3 linked regions of the Rhinolophus ferrumequinum genome follow. The protein of the gene in region 2 purifies or fractionates together with the protein of the main gene of each other region. This does not show direct contact. Links are inferred from orthologs where the notes say so. Each region holds a gene or a part of one and is shown on either strand. Other genes may lie near its edges.

Region 1 (5,786 bases), on a different chromosome or scaffold from region 2:
GATAAAAATGTGTTTAAAACAAAACAACACGTAAAATAAGGTATGTATTTCTCAGTTGAAGAACGCGACCCAAGGCTCTCAGGAACCTAACCCCATTATTTCCCCTAAGAGCAATGGTTTAGCATTCGCTGGTTCAATTTGTGGTGACTTTATAGAATAAAACTTACTGTGACTAACGAAAATCAACTGTATTTTACTCAAGCAGATTTACAGAGCTCATTCTATACTACTGATGACTGTTTTATACTCAGTTGGAGAGAACACACACATAATTAGCAACAAGTTATTTAATATCTGTGATTAGTGGATTGGTAACAATTTCCTTCTTAAAATATGACACAGACAATATTTCTAGCAAAAATCTTCAAGTTTCAATCAAATTTTCTTTATCATCCTTCCATTCTCTTCTTACCAAGAATAATTACTGATGTGGTCCCATCTCCAACCTCTTCATCCTGTGTCCGGCTAATTTCAATCATGGACTTGGCTGCTGGATGCTGAACTTGAATCTGGAAAGAAACATGTCGCCTGCCACTAGAATCCACACTATTCAAAGCCCGCTTCACATTCTGCTTGGCCCTAACCTTCAGGTTCTCGCTTTCACACTTACTCCTTTTTCCCTTGTTTTACCACAGCTTGAAAGATTAAAAGTGGCCCCCAAAATATCTAAGTAAACCACCTTTCCAAGTCCCTTTCGTTTTAGGGAAATATATTAGGCCAACTGACCTATTACAGTTTTTCTGACAACAGAACACTATCTTTTATTTACTGGGAGCACCACTGTGGTGGTTGAACTGTGTCCTCCAAAAGGACATGCTGAAGTCCTACACGCTGCAAACTACAAATGTGACTATATTTGGAAATGGGGTCACTGACCATGTAATCAAGTTAAGATGAGGTCATAGGGAATCAGTGTAGGCCCCGACTCCAACCACTGGTGTCCTTACAGTACGACACACAGGAGACTTCCACGTGACAAACGAGAAGGAGACCGAGTTCACGAGCCAAGGAAGGCCAAGGATATGGTCAGCCGTCAGCAGCTAGAAAGATCCTGCCATAGGCTTTCAGGCGCACGGCTCTGCTGACACCTTGATTTCAGGTTTGTATCCTCCAGTCTAAAGAACACACTTTTGTTGTTTAAAGCTTCCTAGTTTGTGGTCATTTGTTCCAGCAGCCCTAAGGAACTAGTCATCATCAATACATCTTTCTGGATCCTTTATAAAGGTGTGAAATCATAATGAAAAGTCAGTCACACCTCTCGAAGAATGGCATTGCCGTCATTGGTCATCACAATGCCTCCCATCGGGTCCAGAAGCATCTAGGACACAAGCAAAAGTTATATTTAAGTTTTCCAGATACCAGAAAGGGAAAGTCTGTAGTCAAAGGCTTTCAGTATGAGAGGGGCCTACCTTCATCATGGACTTGGGTCCCAAACATGTTCGGATGATATCTGCGATGGTCTAGTGGAAGGAAAATATAAACACATGAGCACAAGTCAGAGGACAGGGTGAGTGTCTGTGTTAGGAAAGGGGCACGAGGGACCCACAGAGCCCGTGGGCTAGCAACCCCCCCACCAGAGCAGGGTTGGCAAGCATCTTAGATGCTGCACGCCGTGTGGCCGCTTCCGTTCTGTTTTCCCCTTTGGGAATGCTTTCAGGGTGGAGGTAGAAAGAAATGACTTTTCACAAGAAAAACGGGGACATGCTTCCCAGATCTTCAGTTTCCCAGCAGTCCAGATAAATGCACGTCCATGTCTTAGGAGTTCTTTCCATCACAGTAACCTCCACACCATGCTAAATCAGACCCAGTGAGGGCTTTTTATGCCAAAGATACTGGGTCCTATCTGGGATCTACAGTGGGCACTCGGAATACAAGAGGGGATACACACAGTCCTTCCCCACAGGAACTCAGTCTAGTAGACAGACACAAATAGGGTATTATTATAAGATACACAGCGATGGAACTTTGTCAGTATGAGAAGATGCTTAGGCCTAACGCACAGAGAAAGGGCTTCCTTCGTTCTACCCCTATCAAGGAAATGACCTAAAAGAAGGGAAGTCAACCTCTCCTCTGCCTAACTGCAAACAGATACAGAAATACTAGGGCAGGCAGCTGGAGGAAAACCAGCACACTGTAAACAATTCCACGGATAGGCTACCTTGGCAGCATTGATGTTTCCAGATTGGACTTTTCTTCCAGATTCACGCTTTGTGTTCTGGCCTAAAATAGATAAGACAACAGTGCGGGATTGTCCCATTATATATAAACTATTTACTCCCCGACTTCTGAAAATAGAAACAAATGCACAGGTTCCATAGGTGTCCACACAGATCAAAGCTTATCAAGTTGTACACTTTAAATATGTGCAGCTTATTGTATGATTACACCTCAAAAAAACTGTTAGAAACCACCCACGATGCTTCAACTTTGGAATCTTGGTCATCACTTTCCCTCTAACCAAACACCCATGTATTTACAGCATGGATTCATAATCTGAGATTCATGAGTGGGCCTCTGTGGCAAAGTGAAAATCCCTGAGATTATATGAGAAAATGGGGGCTTCGTCTGGGAAAAGGATCTATAGCCTCTCATTGGATTCTCAAAAGGCCGGTGACCCTAAAAGAAGCACAAATCACTTCTTTATGTAAAAGGGAGTTTGGGGTTCATCTTTCCCTACTTGGAGAGGAAGAATCATACTCGATAGACCGGGCATGATTACTGACAGAGCCCCCAGTGTGCTGTGGGATGAGAACACACTCTTCAAGTGTGTCCCCATTTGCAAGCTAGTCACTCCATGCTTGGCTATAGCAAGACTGCCTCAGTCACCCACGTACCATCAGTAAGAGCTGTTACCTACTTTAACAGAGAGCACAGTGGGTTATAGCCACTAAGGCCAGGGATGAATGCAGACCTGAAAAGGACTTCGAATGCACCACTCACCCCAGGGCCCCCTCAGTGCAGACAAGCCAGTGGTCCATAACCAAACCAACACCCGCTCATTTCCTTCCTCTCTCCCAATTGCACATTTTCCTGCCAACGATTTCAATCTGAAAAATGTCCAACCCAGTCTCATCAAATCTAAACATTCACAATTCTCACGCTTTAGATGCCTATTTCAGGCCGTGGTGAGTAAAACCCTGCATGAACCTTTCTGATGGATTCATCCGAAAGAACAGGCATTTTTCTGGTTACGGGATTCCCCTCCCCCCCTAAAAAGAGTTATTTCCTAGGTGTAGGGAAAATGGTTAAAATCTCTGAACGGCGTTCCGTAGACAGAAGACACTATGGCTAGTTGGGGATCTTAGGTGGTCTTGCAGATGGCACACAGAAGCGACACACAGGACGGAAACAAACCAGGGGAAGCCCATGGACGAGGCGCTCGCCAGTCAGAAAGAAATGTGGGATGTTTTGAAGGGTAAAGAGAACCCGTTAAGAAATTTGGGAAAACTCAAGTGGGTTCCTGGGAAGGATTACAACGCAGGCGACACGCAGGGAATAATTACATCTAAGACAGACAGAGAGACAGACCAGGGAGGGAAGCGGAGTTACTTCAGGTACAGGGACGGGCTGCTGAGCGGAAATTCAAGAGGGCCGTTAGGGAAAAGTGACAAGGATACCCACCCCTCGCTGTTCGCCAGCCCCTCTTTTCAGCAGTTCCTCTACTTATCTCGTTTGATCCTCACGGTTCTACGGGGAACTACCGTTCACCCCAATAAGACAGATGGAAACACTTAAGCAATTTGGCCGAGGACAACCGCTGCTAAGAGACTGACCGAGGTTCCCGAGCTGGGCCAAACCAAAACACCATCATCCATTCACCTACACGCCGAAAACCACGCCGAGAAGGGGGCAGGGGCTCCCCGGGGCGGGAAGCCGTGAGGACAAGGTCAGTTTGCGTCCGTGAAGACAGCGGAATGGACTAAGGGGAGACAGGAGAGCGGGAGAAGGGGCTTCCAAAACGAGGATGACTGGTAGGCTCACTGGCCGGACCATGGCGGGACTGGGCTGGGGCAACCCTGAAAAGTGTAGACCGACGGGGAGCGAAAAGGGGGTCCCTCCATCGGCTTCCCCTCAACTCACTGAGCACGAGCACGGGACGATGGCCCATCATGGCGGCGCGATGCGGAGCCCGGGACCCAGAGCTGGGGGAACCGGCAGAAGCTTCTGGAGAGAGAACCTGAGAGAAGCCCAGAAAACGCTGCCTTCTCAGGGCTTACACCTAAACCCGCTACCTTCCGGGTCGCCGCCAATCAGCGCATCCACCTCACTGACCGGCACAAAAATAAGCCAATTGGGATTCTTAGCCCCGCCCCCTACGCAAGAACGTCTGGGCAAGCTAGATAGAGAGAGCACGAGGATGGAAACGGCGCTTGCGCAATAGGGTGGCCGCTCCCGGCCGCGTGCGGCGCGAGCTTCGGCGCAAGCGCCAAGGCTCGGGCAGTTGGCCGGCACGTCGCTGCGCGTGTGATTCAGCTGCAAGGGTGGATGCTGGGGTTGTGGCTCTCAATTAACACCGCAGGTGATGGCATTAGACTGGCTTGCACCTCAGCTCCTCTCAGGCCGCGAAGGTCAAGAAAGCAGTGACAGTTTCCGTCACTCTTTCGATCCAGCCTTAGCTACAGGGAGGAATAGAAGGGAGGGACTTCAACCGGCGGTTAAGGGAAGACCTGGCGGGTTGGCCGCGGGGTGAAATGGGAGTTGTAGTCCTATCGGGCACGCTGGGAGTTGTGGTTTATTGCCTCTGGTCTCGTTGCTGTGCGGGAACCTTACCATTCTTAGGCAAACGCTTTCTACTGACCGAGGCTGTGAGCGGCGCCAGAGGGTGATGGCTTCCTTTCCACCCCACCACACCCTCTCCCCGTTATTCTATCCAAAACATTTTCTCAAGGGTTCCACGTAGGGCTTTGAGATTGTTTCTCCACGCCCGTTGCCTCCCCTGCCCTCTTGACGTCCACTCCACTGCTAGTCCATTAGAGACGACTGAGCCAGAGCTTTTCAATTACCTTACAGGAAAGGAAAAGGGCTGATACGGAAATTAAACGTGGAGAGAACACAAGAGAGTAATTGCCCGTTCGTAGGAGACTTTTAAGGTTTGGGTTTAGTTGCATTACTATTTTGTCCAGAAAAAAAAAGGAAGCAATAATAACGGAAACAACTGTATTCCAAACTAGTGAAGGGGCTAGGAGAGCACAAACAATCCATGAAGAGTCACTTAACATTTGGCCATAAAATAAAAGAGTACACCCTTTCCCACTTTTTCCTCCCCAAATTGGAACAGCCTGAGATCTGCCAGAGAGAACTTAGAAAATTGTCAACAGTAAAATAATAGCATGGTTGTTGATCACGTGACCCGATGTTTCTTTCCAGGCCTCTGGAAACACATCTGTGGGTGCTCAGATGGAGGACCCTACCGGTCATCCTACTAACAGAAAAGGTGTGTGCCGGAGGCTCCCCCTCCCTTAAAAGCCAGGCCTTAATTGCTCCACATTTGGGAAAATGATTCTAGTTGTATATGTTTTTTCCTGTTACTTGGCTAATTGGGAAGTATGTCTTTGTTCTGCATCCCACGTAATAGGAACATTGCTGTATTCCCAGTGCCTAGAACGGGACCTGTTAAATTATCGATGCTCAATAATTATATGTTGAATGAATATAATATTCTTCCTTTGTATCTCCTCTTAATACTTAGAACAAGACTTTGTGTACAGGGGTCCCAGGAGACATAGTGTCGACTAGAGTGAACAGATAACTAACTCAGGTTGAGCAGGGCAGCCCCACTGGTGGCC
Region 2 (5,786 bases):
CTCTGGAGGGACAAGGGCTACTCACTGTGACTGGCGAGTCCACCCTCTGTACGTTGCTCTCCTCTACCAAGATCTCTCTGGAGAAAAGACGACCAGGGTCACCACAGCCAGGCCAGCCCAACCCAATTCCTGACCTTTTTTGGGGGGTGGGGTGCAAGGGGGGAAATAGGAGGTGGTCCTTGAACCTCTAGTGGGTAGGAGTGAGGTGTGCAATCTCCCCAGGAAAGAGACTGACCACTGCTGGACACCCTTGCTGGCTCCCGGCTGCCAACAGGCCACAGGTCAAGCTCTTGTTCCGGTTTTCAAAGCCCTTCCAGGCAGGCTGTGACTTTCCCAGTCCTGACCCTCCCCGCCGCTCCCTTTCACACATCCAGCACCCCAAGAAACAGATCTCCTCCCCACCACAGAGCCCTCTACTCCCGCGGCGCCCCCCACCTGGCGCTCCGAGCCTGTGCCCCGGGCAGAGCTCAGAGGCCCTCTGCCCGTCACAGGGGCCTTCGCCCAGGCACAGCCCGGTGCCCTGGGGAGGCCGGCTCCAGTGTGATCTTCCAAGTGATATGTCGTTGCTTTTTCATTATTTAGATGAAGGGACGACTTTGTTCTTTCACCCCTCCTTGCAGTGGTCTCCTTCCACTTGAGTGGACATGTCAGGTGGACAGGCACCCAATTGAAGGAGCACCCTGCTACCAGGTTTCCTCCTGGTGACAGCTGCAGAGGTGAGCGTTCCAGTTCTCACCTTGCGCCATGACTGCAGGAAGAGCGTTGCGTGGAGGACGCAACACAATCAAATCACCACCTTCAAAGGTGGTTTCCCTGCTCGAACGAATGGCCGCAGTCACCCCTGCGGGACTGCAACCAAGGCAGCGGGCTCCCGGGTCTGGCTTTTCTCAAGCTCCTGCTCAGCCTGCCCTCTTCCTGCCAGTCTCTTCCCACCAGACTGGGGCTCCCCGAGCTCCTCAGGCTTCCCTGGAGGTCCTTCGGGGTGCTGTGCACGACACAGGCAGCTCCTGGAGGTGTGCCCTGGCTTTCTGGGGATGGGAGGAGGCGCTGGCTGTGATCCCGGGGGCCCTGCAGCTACCAGGCTCTCCCACCTGTACTGCCCCTGTGCTCAATCAACATCCTTCCACATCAAGCGCTTACAATGACCTTTGCGACTGACTCGGGGAGGTTCTTTTCATCCTCGTCTGACAGGTAAAAAAACCAAGGCTTAGAGAAAAAAGGGGCAGGGGCAAGGTCACAAAACTGGAGAGAGCCTGAGCTGGAACCCAGGAGCCCAACTCTCTGAGAATTTCTGCCAGATTGTGGGTCAAAACCCAGCCTCGGAGTTAGCAGCACCCCAGCAAGGTCCGGCAACAAGGCCCAGCTTCCCATCCCAGCCCTGACGCTTGCAGCACACCACCCGCCCTCTCAGGGTTCACATTTGCTCACCTTTCCTCCCACAACTAACACTGCCTTTTGTACGTGCTCATCAAAGTGCCTGGGCCTGTCCTCAGATTTGCAGAATCTCGTTTGAGAATCCTAAGGATTTCAAAGACTTGCAGAGGTAAAGGGACTTGACCAGGGTCCTACGATTTACAGGTGACAAAGCTGGGATTCGCACTGAAGACCCCCCGATTCAAAACCCTCTGCTCTTCGAATATGCTGACTTTTTTTTTAAGGAGGACGCAGCTCACAGTGGCCCATGCGGGGCTTGAACCGGCAACCTTGGTGTTACCAACACCATGCTCTCACCAGCTGAGCTAACTGGCCGCCCCTATGCTCACTTTTAGCAGGACCAAGTTCAGCTCGCACACGTCAGGCCGCTGTAAACCCACAGGCTTGAGTCTACACACCCTCGGAGCGAGCCGAAGCTCTCGACACTGCCGGCATGGGCACCGGGCGGGTCCCTAGGTGCTAGAGCCGGCCCTTCCTCAGGCCGTGCCTGGGATGACAGTGGTCAGCTCAGGCCTCAGGCCAGAACCTCCGAGCTCCATCTCAGTTTCAGCTGAGCTGGACCCTCCCACCCCTCAGTTCTCCTCAGCTCCCTGCTGCGTCTCTGACAGCCTGGCTGTTCACAAGCTTAGAGCACAAAGACCTGCCTCCAAAACCCAGCGCCCCTCCAACCAGCTGTGAGGCCTGGGTGAGACGTTAGCTTCCCTGAGGCTCGATTTTCTCTTCTGTGAACTACTCACCCCAGCCCTGCCTATTCCAGTGGGCAAAGAACAGTGAAGACAGTATGTAACTTCTGTTATCCTGGAAACGCCACCATGCTACCCAAGCTATTATCATTACCAAATTAAGGTCCTATGGGGGGAGGTGAGACTTACAGGGTAAAGATTAGTGCCAGGCAGCAATCCTAAAAATGCCAGTCAAGACTGAGGAAGCACGCAAAACATGAAAGAGCTACAGACAAGCATTTAAAAAGGGGCTTTGCCCACTCGCCAAAGCCACGCAGGCCCTCTCTGGCTGCTACGCGTCTGTCTGCGTGGGGCTGAGCCACGCAAAGAGCCTGACGGCCACAAGGTCGGAGCCCAGCTCTGCCACTTTCTCTCTGGGTGACCTCGGCCAAGTCACGAAGCCTCTCGGAGTCATGGAATCCTGTTCTACACAGTGGAGGAGGTAATTCCAACCTCATGAGATGGCTGTGGAAATGGCTATAAATGCTTTGCTAGTACAGCGCCAGGCTAAGAGTGGGCCTGTTGTTCACTCTGCCAGCTCATGCAGGGTCACTCTGCCGGCTCTTCCCCCACAATTCTCCAGCCTGGTGGAAGCCCTTCAAACAGGACCTCAGAGGAGGCAGGTAACTGGTCTCCTCACTGGGGACACGTGACAGCGCCTCCACTCCTACTCTCAGCCTGCTTAGGATGCCTCCCTCCCCGGGCCCGCTGCCATCGCCTGGCCAAATTCTTTTCATCTCCCAAGGCCCCCTTCTCTTAGAAGCCTTCCCGGACCTCTTCAGTCCAATCAGCATTGCCCTGGTCCTACACGGTAACACCACCGAAGGATCGCTGCGCTTACATCGCACCAACGCCTGATGCGAAGCTCCTCCCACACACCAACTTACCGACTTCTCACAACCACCGTACTAAGTCCTATCATCCCCATTTTACAGGTCAAAAAACTGAGATCTCCCGTAGAGCTGGTCAGTGGCCGAGTCCAACCTACAGCCATCATTCACCACGACAACGCCTGGGGCCTCTTAACCACTACATATCCCACTTGCCACCGAACTCGGAGTTGGGCCTGCCTTCCTACGCTGGATTATACTAATACTCTGACTTATCTACTACCGTTTCTTAGGCTCCCACACAGAACATGCGTGATCCAAGTCCACCTTCGTGCATTATGGCCTGAAAAGGGACAGGACACAGAGAACGGGCTTCAAACTCCATCCCTGACTTGCTGGTTGACTCTGAGCCTGGGGCCTCCCCTGTAAAACGGGGACGCCACCACCCATCTTGAAGGGCTGCTGTCCTGTCGGAATTGTGAAGAATTTCACACACCACAGACTCTTGAGCCTTTCTGCCTTTGGACTTCGGTTCTGGCAGACGCTGCCTTTTGTCGTCGTCTTCTTCACGGCCTGCCCCAAAGTTCAGCTCCTCCAAGAAGCGTTCTCTGTACCCCCCCCCCCAACAGATAGGGCTGTTTCCCTGCGCTTCCAAAGAACTTTCTAGAACTCTCTAACTCCACTGAAAACACATCATCGAATACTTTCGGGGTCTTTATCCAGGTCTGTCTCCATCGCCCCCCGACCCCCGCACAGGCAGGTTGCTCCCCGAGGGGAGAAGGTTCCGGGATGGGCCAGGCCCCGAGTGCTCGGCTAGGTCAGCCCCAGGCCGGAACCGTGGGCAGCGGCGGGGCCCCCCGGCCCGGGGCCGGCGGGCTCACCTGGCCTTAGCGCACAAGGCCTTGACTTCGCTCTCCTTGATGAGCTCGCAGCGCCGCAGCTGCTCGATCTGCCGGTCCAGGTCGCTGATCTCCGCCATGGCCCACCCCCCGGCGCGGGTCAGAGCCGGGGCCGCCGCCCCCTCCGCACCGCACAGGGGTCTCCTGGGAAAGGCGAAGACGAGCCCAAATCAGAGTGTCCGTAGGGGGCGCCAGGCGTGGGGGGGCTCAACTCCATCCCGGAGCCGGCTCGGTTCCCCCCCCCCCCCGACCTCCCCTCACATCGCCCCACGGCCCCGGCCGCCCCTGGCTAACTCCCGTCGAACCCCGCGATCCCGCGCTAGGGACGGTGGCCTAGAGGGGTCCCCGACAATTACCGCCGCTGCGACTTCGACTCGGGCTCCCGGGCTCCTCGCCTACCTCCTTCCCTCCGCTTCGGGCCGCTTCTACTTCCGGCCCCGCCGCGGAAGCAAAGGAGGCCACTTCCGCCGTGCACCGGAAGTGGCGTCATACACACCCGTCTCCCCGCCCCCACGCCACGCCCGGAACCCCCGCTCCCAAGCCGGAGGGTGGAAAACGAGCCGCAGGAACCGGATGTCAGCTACGTGCGCGCGGAAGTCGTTGTGGGCGAAGCCCATCGGGGCTGCGAGGGCTGCGCGGGGACCCCGCCAGCTCCTCCGCCATCTGCTAGGGCATCCGCAGCTGAGCTGGGTGGGGGGCTCGCCTGGTCATTTTAGGTGTTTTTTTTTTTAATTTGTTTGAGTTGACTTCCCCCATTAAAATCCCTGAGGGATAGAACTTTGGTTCACACTTGCAGCCCCAGTGCTTGGAACAAGGCCTGGCACGTAGGCATACATGTCAGTATTCGTTCAATGGATGAAGGAACCCCACCCAGCCTACATCTAGTTCCACGACCCCCGAGAAATTTCTGCCATGGGGGACCTCGGAAGTTAGAGGCAGAAAGGAGTCCCCTCCCCCACAGCAAGCCTGTGCCTCCGTCCGCATGACCTCCCTGACCTCCCTGATTCCAGCATGATCCCCTTGACACCCCTCAGTCGGTTTCTGTTGTCTGCCAGTTTTATTCCTTTTTTTTTTAAAAGAGGAAACTGGCTCAGAGAGGGTAAGTCACCTGTTCGTGGTTGCATAGCTAAGTATTTGGGGTTTGAATCAAGGTTGAAAATTGAACCCAGGAAAAGTGGTTTGGTTTCTCGTCCATTTCTCACACCACTATCTGGAGCTTGACTGTGTTTCCCCAAAAATAAGACCTCACCGGAAAATAAGCCCTAGCATGATTTTTCAGGATGACATCTCCTGAACATAAGCCCTAATGCATCTTTTGGAGCAAACCTTAATATAAGACCCGGTCTTATTTTCGGGGAAACACGTGATAACAAGTCCCAAATTCCCCAAACTGGTATTTGAGTTCCCCTGCTTCCCTACTCTTTGGCTGCCAGAGGAAGCCATTGGTCCTTAAGCAAACTTTGTGTCTGAACCTTTGTACACACTACTCCCTTCTGGAATGTCCTTTCCACTATCTCTAATTGACTTCAATTTTTGTTTGCTTTACTTCAGATTTTGAGTCGAGGGTAAGCACAGATATTCGAGCCAAAGTTTGGAGGGAAACTAGGAGATTTGGTTTTGTACGTAGGCAACGTACAGAGAGAAGGACCAAGTTCTTCAACTCCGAGAGGGTACTACGTTAGTCAGTACTATGCAGGTCACTACAGGCATGTAGTAGGTGCGGAGATCAGAAAGGTCAAGACGATTTTTTCTCTCTCTCTAGGAGGGAGCTCAAACAGGAAAGGGCCCGTATCAGGAAATTTGGGAAATGGCAGGACTATGATTAGGATCTTGCCAACAGCTGAGACCTGGTGTATTGACTGCTCCACCCCAGCCTGGGTGACTGGGGAAGGGTTTGAGGT
Region 3 (5,786 bases), on a different chromosome or scaffold from region 2:
GCACCTCTCTTCACCCCTCGCCCAACCTGGAAAGCATCTGGTAGTCTTGGGAAGCCATGTGCTAAAACCTGGATCTGATCATTTGGTCCCCCATTTAAAACACAGCCACAGCTCCCCTCAGCTCTCGGATAAGGAAGAAGCGCCCCAGCAGCCTGGACTAGAAGCACACTCTGCCCACTGCCTCTCCTCCCACCTCCCTGGGCTCCCTCTTCAAATGCTAGGTCCCAGCCACACTGAACCGCACACTTAGCACAGTCCATCATCCAGGCTGGTCCTCTGCATAACAAGCTATTTTGCTCTGCCTCTCGTTCACGTTTCAATCAAAGTACCCCTCTTTCAGGAAGTCATGCCCTCTCCCCACCAGGCAAAGGCAGGCACATCCTCTGCAGTCACCACCCTCCGGGCTTCTTCCACCACGTGGTCAGGGAGGTGACCACGATGACCTCCCTGAGAGCAGGGACCAGGCTATTATCTCAGGCACTGCTGGGTCCCCAGCATCACCCAGCCCATGGCCGGGAACACAAGATGACTTAAGAAATATTTGCTTTAATACAGAATCCTGACTAGCTCACACAATCCACATATGAACAACTCAAACTACAATAGGATCACATCCTGATTTCTAAAAACCTTGTCATCACCCTCAGTCCCAGCGTACCCTTCTTTCCAAACCCGGCTCCCCAGTCCCCGAGGAGAGAGCTCCCACTACTATCTCTGTGTTACCTCAGGACTTGAACGTGCTCTTACACCATGCCGTCCTCAGGATTCCCCTCAGTACTGGTCCCTCTGTTTATGAAACTCTCCACCCCAGGACAGAGGTCTCCACGAGGGAGGCTGTGATCCCAACACGACAGGAACTCAAGGAACACATGTCGAATTAGTGAATGAGCAGGTTACTGGGGCTGAGAAGAGTGAACCCGAAAGTGGCTCATTGTGTACCATCCCCTACCTGTCTATCCGTGGGACCCAGTTCTTCAAGGGCCATGCCAACATCTGGCTGTCTGAAAAACCCATCCAGTCCCATCTCTGGCAGTGAGGGCGGGCTTCACACCGCCCTCATGCCTCACCTGGTGACAGCAGACAAGCCAGCCTAGTGTGGTGTTAAGAGTGAGACTTGCACAGTGCAAAGCAGACTACCCCAGCCAGGAAAAGGAAGCGGGGATCCTGGTCTCATTACCACCAGGCTTTAACCACAAGCAAAGTGTCCTGAAGCCATGAGTCAGAGACCAAGGACTCTTGAAGCAAAGGCCCTTCCTGGCATCCTCCTATTTGCCCCACTCCCCCAGCACGATATCCCAATTCCTCCAACTCTTCACCGGAAGCTGAAGACTCCCCAAAAGGCACAAGGTTTGACAATCAAATGCCTACAGAGGGCAAGCATGCAACATAAATAAGCTCAAGGGAATCCCATGGCACTCTCCGTCTACCTTGTGTTTTCCATAACACAGGCATATGACACCTTTCCTTTTCTTAAATCTGCCACAAGACAGGCATGATGATAAATGGTGATTTATGTATCCTGGAAACTAGAGAAAATTCCCAGTTCTAAACAGGGCTGCTACTTCTTGAGCAAAGAGCTACTATATGGAACAATCCTGAGTCCCAGTTACTGGCTCCTCCCATTTCCCCAGAAAAGCAGGAAATGTTGATTTTTACACGAAATCACCCTTACAAGTGTTGGCAACTAACTTACAAAATAAATTCCCATTTCTGTAAGGCTAAATGAAACCCATATAACCATCCTTTGTTAATTCCCTTCTACTAAACTCCCTGAAAGGACAGATTTGCCTTGTTCCACTCTCTCCAACACCTAGGATGTATCTGCAGCACAACGTAGATGCTCAAACATTTGTTCAACAAATGAGGAAATCAAAAATAAATACAAGAGGATAACAGTGAGTGACAATATTTGAAATCAGATGTGTCCCAGGAAATGTTTGATATTTAGTTCCTGAAATGGCGACATTCAACACACCCAAAGCCGGAGTGATCCTTTCAAAACATTAGATCACATCCCTCCTTTGCTCGAAACGTTCTCATGGCTCCATCTCACTCAGTTAAGGATAAATTCCTCACCACAGTCTTCAAGATCCTGTGTGATTGGGCTTCTTTCTGTTACTTCTTTGCTGCACTCTCTCTGATCCAGCAAAAGTGGACTCCTTGTTACTTCTTGAACACCGCAGACATGCTCCCAACTTTGCACTGCCTGTTCCCCCTTACTGGAACACTCTTCTTCCCTATGACATGACTCACTCCCTCACCTCCAACAAGTCTTTTTTCAAATGTCACCCGCTCAGACTCACCCTGATTACCCTATTCAAAGTGCAACGAGGACTCCCTATTCCCCTTCTCTACTTTCCTGCAGAGTACCTGCTAACATACTAATGATTTACTTATTATGTTTACTTATATTCACAAGGCAAAGGTTTTTGAAATCTGTTTTGTTTACTGGCGTAGCTCAAGGGCAAAGACTTGTGCGTAGCACATAGTAGGCAGTAAAAACATCTTTCTAGAATGACTGAACATACCTAAAAATAAAAGCTAATAGTGAGTGCTCACTATGTGGCAGGTCCTTTCACCACATCGCTTGTTACCTACCTGTACCCGGGGCAGCCCTGGCCTCCAGCACCTGTCCCCTCTGCTTAACCTGGGCTTCCCTACTTGTCTATCTCTCCCGACAACCTGGAAGCTCCGCGAGGCCAGAGCTCATTTTGATCCGCTCTGAGCTCGCACAGGGGCCTTTCTGCTTTGGTCCTGTCCCCAGGCGCCATGCCCCCCAGCGCCCCAGCCACAGACCTCGGCCTCCTCGCCGTCACTGCTGCGCTCGCTGTCTTCCTCCTCGGAGAAGTTGCTGTCCTCGCTGTCCGACATCTGCTCTTGCAAGAAAAGACGGCGGCCTCAGTGCGTCCCCCAATCCCGAACTCCACCCCGAGCCTCAGTATCCCCGCCGGTTCCCGGCGAGAAAAGCCCCTTAGCGCACTTCCGGCAGCCTCGTTCTGGCAACCGTGAACCCGAAAGGAGACCCGCCCCCAACGCCACCTGCTACACCTCTAGAGTCCTTGAATCCGGTCTCTACACCTCCCTGGTTCCCGGCGACCCCTGGGCCTGCTACGTCGGCTTCCAACCCACCCCTCACCGCTCCGGCCTCACCTCCACCTTCGGCACCGGTTGCTGTTCACACGACGCCTGGCTGGGAATGACGTATCCTCTCGCGATAACCTACCGCATGTCCTCGCCTAACGCGAGATTTCTAGGGCTCCTCCTACTCACTTCCCGGGTACCGTCTTGAGAGTGGCAGAGCTATCTTTAGGTAGCACTTGGAGCTGACATCTTGGGAAGGTCAAAGAGAGGGAAAGTAACCTTATATTGCTGTGTATAATACGCACTTTTTTGCCCAAATTTGTGTGTGTGGGGGGGAGATAAGGATATGCATTATACATGGGTAGTACTAATTCAGTATCTACATAAATGTTTTTGATTATTTTACTTATGCTTATGAGTTAAAAGTGTAACAGTAGGGGTGGCCGGTTGCTCTGTTGCTTGGTGTGCAGTGCTCATAACACCAAGGTTGCCGATTAGAACCCCACATGGGCCCCTGTGAGCTGCAACCTCTTTAAAAATATATATACATATATATGTTATATAGCATATATATATATATGCTAAAGAGCATAGCAACAGAGCTGCCAAGAGACACTTTGGACCTCCTCCCACAGAGAGTGTCATCAGATTGTGGAGGCAACAGGAAGAAAAGCTTCTTCAGATGCTGAGATAGAAGAAGGCAATGCAAGGGAAACCTCCAAAGTGGCCGGTTTGGAGCAAGAGGTAAAGACCTGGATTCTGGAGGAGCATCAGACTGGGATCTCTGTGTCAACCAAGATGATACAAGAAGAGGGTAAAGAGATTGCACGAGAAAAAACAATATTGATGATTTCTCAGGGACACCTAAATGGTGCTTTAACTTTATCAAGAGAGAAGGTTTAAGCATGAGGACATGAATGAAACTTGCCCCAAAACTTCCAGCAGCCAATGAGAATCAAGTTTTGGAATTTCATTCTTATGTTATCAATCTTCAAAAGACTTACAACTTTGAGTTGTCCCAAAGCGCCAATATGGATGAGGTCCCACACACATTTGATGTGCCATCTAACAGAACTGCAAACGTCAAAGGAGTAAAGACCAGGGCTGTTTAAACTAGTGGACATGAGAAAACACATTTCACTGTTGTTCTAGCCTGTTGTACAGATGGGACAAAGCTACCACCTATGATCATCTTTAAAACAAAAATGTTTCCAAAAGAAAAGTTTCCAAGTAGAATTATTGTCCACGTACATGAAAAAGGATGGATAAATGGAGAAGGCACGAAAATCTGGTTGAACAAAGTCTAGTCACAAAGGCCTGGAGAATTACTTAAAAACCCAGCTTTGCTTGTTTTTGATCACTTCAAAGCCCATGTTACACGAAGTGCAAAAGCAATTGCAGTGGCCTTGAAAACCCAACTCGCTGTGATACCTGGTGGGCTAGCCGGCGAACTGCAACCTCTTGATGTATCAGTAAACAAGCCCTTAATGGTCCTCATGAAGAATAGAGTGGATGTCGTGGATGCAGTCAGCTGGTAATGATTTAACACCTACAGGCAGAATCAAGAAAGCATCCATCGCCCAGGTTTGTGATTGGATCCTAAGATTGTGGAACGGTATCAAGAATGAAATTATTGTAAAATCGTTTAAAAAATGTGGCATCAGCAGTGCAATGGATGGGATGGAGGATGATGAAATTTACTGAATGAAGAAAGTGTCTAACTCTTCAGAAAACACCGGTAATGTAGAAATTAAGGAAGACAATACTTCTGATATTGACAGTGACGAAGAGTTCTTGGCCTTCTATGATGTGTAAATATCATAAATTTGTTACCGGTACATATTAATAAAATTATTGTACCTTGTATCTGTTCTTGTCTTTTGTAATTATTTGTTACATAAAATTTCTTGTACCATATGTTAAAAAGTGCTAAAATTCCTTTATAATACAAAAAAATACCTAAATATAAACAAATAAAAATTTGAATTAAAAAATTAAAAGGGGGGCCGGCCCGGTGGCTTCAGGCAGTTAGAGCTCCATGCTCCTAACTCCAAAGGCTGCCGATTCAATTCCCACATGGGCCGGCTCTCAACCACAAGGTTGCCAGTTCAATTCCTGGAGTCCCGCAAGGGATGGTGGGCAGTGCCCCCTGCAACTAAGATTGAACACAGCACCTTGAGCTGAGCTGCCTCCCAGATGGCTCACAAGGTTGCCGGTTCGACTCCCACAGGGCATGGTGGGCTGTGCCCCCTGCAACTAGAAAACGGCAACTGGACCTGGAGCTGAGCTGCGCCCTCCACAACTAAGACTGAAAGGACAACAACTTGAAGCTGAACGGCACCCTCCATAACTAAGATTGAAAGGACAACTTGACTTGAAAAAAAAAAAAAGTCCTGGAAGTACACACTGTTCCCCAATAAAGTCCTGTTCCCCTTCCCCAATAAAATCTAAAAAAAAAAAAAAATTAAAAGGGGTCGGCCCGGTGGCTCAGGCAGTTGGAGCTCCGTGCTCCTAACTCCGAAGGCTGCCGGTTCGATTCCCACATGGGCCAGTTGGCTCTCAACCACAAGGCTGCTGGTTCAACTCCTCCGAATCCCGCAAGGGATGGTGGGCTCAGCCCCCTGCAACTAGCAACGGCAACTGGACCTGGAGCTGAGCTGCGCCCTCCACAACTAAGACTGAAAAGGACAACAACTTGAAGCTGA

What was found.
Region 1: the proteins of PPP4C (region 2) and CCT3 purify together in Homo sapiens (affinity purification with mass spectrometry; 5 studies listed by BioGRID and IntAct, with this or other methods). This does not show direct contact. The link is inferred for Rhinolophus ferrumequinum from reciprocal best matches to the Homo sapiens genes PPP4C and CCT3.
Region 3: the proteins of PPP4C (region 2) and SUPT5H purify together in Homo sapiens (affinity purification with mass spectrometry; 3 studies listed by BioGRID and IntAct, with this or other methods). This does not show direct contact. The link is inferred for Rhinolophus ferrumequinum from reciprocal best matches to the Homo sapiens genes PPP4C and SUPT5H.

What each region holds. Positions count from the first base shown.
Region 1 is NC_046305.1:841,730-847,515, forward strand, and holds the start of CCT3 (T-complex protein 1 subunit gamma), read right to left. Parts: upstream 4,238-5,786; 5' UTR 4,112-4,237; coding exon 4,081-4,111; intron 2,221-4,080; coding exon 2,159-2,220; intron 1,461-2,158; coding exon 1,410-1,460; intron 1,319-1,409; coding exon 1,256-1,318; intron 510-1,255; coding exon 413-509; intron 1-412. Other genes in the region: TSACC (TSSK6-activating co-chaperone protein), read left to right, coding at 5,398-5,434. UniProt on the Homo sapiens protein: Component of the chaperonin-containing T-complex (TRiC), a molecular chaperone complex that assists the folding of actin, tubulin and other proteins upon ATP hydrolysis.
Region 2 is NW_022680357.1:1,030,333-1,036,118, reverse strand, and holds the start of PPP4C (serine/threonine-protein phosphatase 4 catalytic subunit), read right to left. Parts: upstream 4,352-5,786; 5' UTR 4,242-4,351; intron 4,030-4,241; 5' UTR 3,966-4,029; coding exon 3,868-3,965; intron 78-3,867; coding exon 26-77; intron 1-25. UniProt on the Homo sapiens protein: Protein phosphatase that is involved in many processes such as microtubule organization at centrosomes, maturation of spliceosomal snRNPs, apoptosis, DNA repair, tumor necrosis factor (TNF)-alpha signaling, activation of c-Jun N-terminal kinase MAPK8, regulation of histone acetylation, DNA damage checkpoint signaling, NF-kappa-B activation and cell migration.
Region 3 is NC_046298.1:38,600,411-38,606,196, reverse strand, and holds the start of SUPT5H (transcription elongation factor SPT5), read right to left. Parts: upstream 3,307-5,786; 5' UTR 3,151-3,306; intron 2,872-3,150; coding exon 2,797-2,871; intron 1-2,796. UniProt on the Homo sapiens protein: Component of the DRB sensitivity-inducing factor complex (DSIF complex), which regulates mRNA processing and transcription elongation by RNA polymerase II.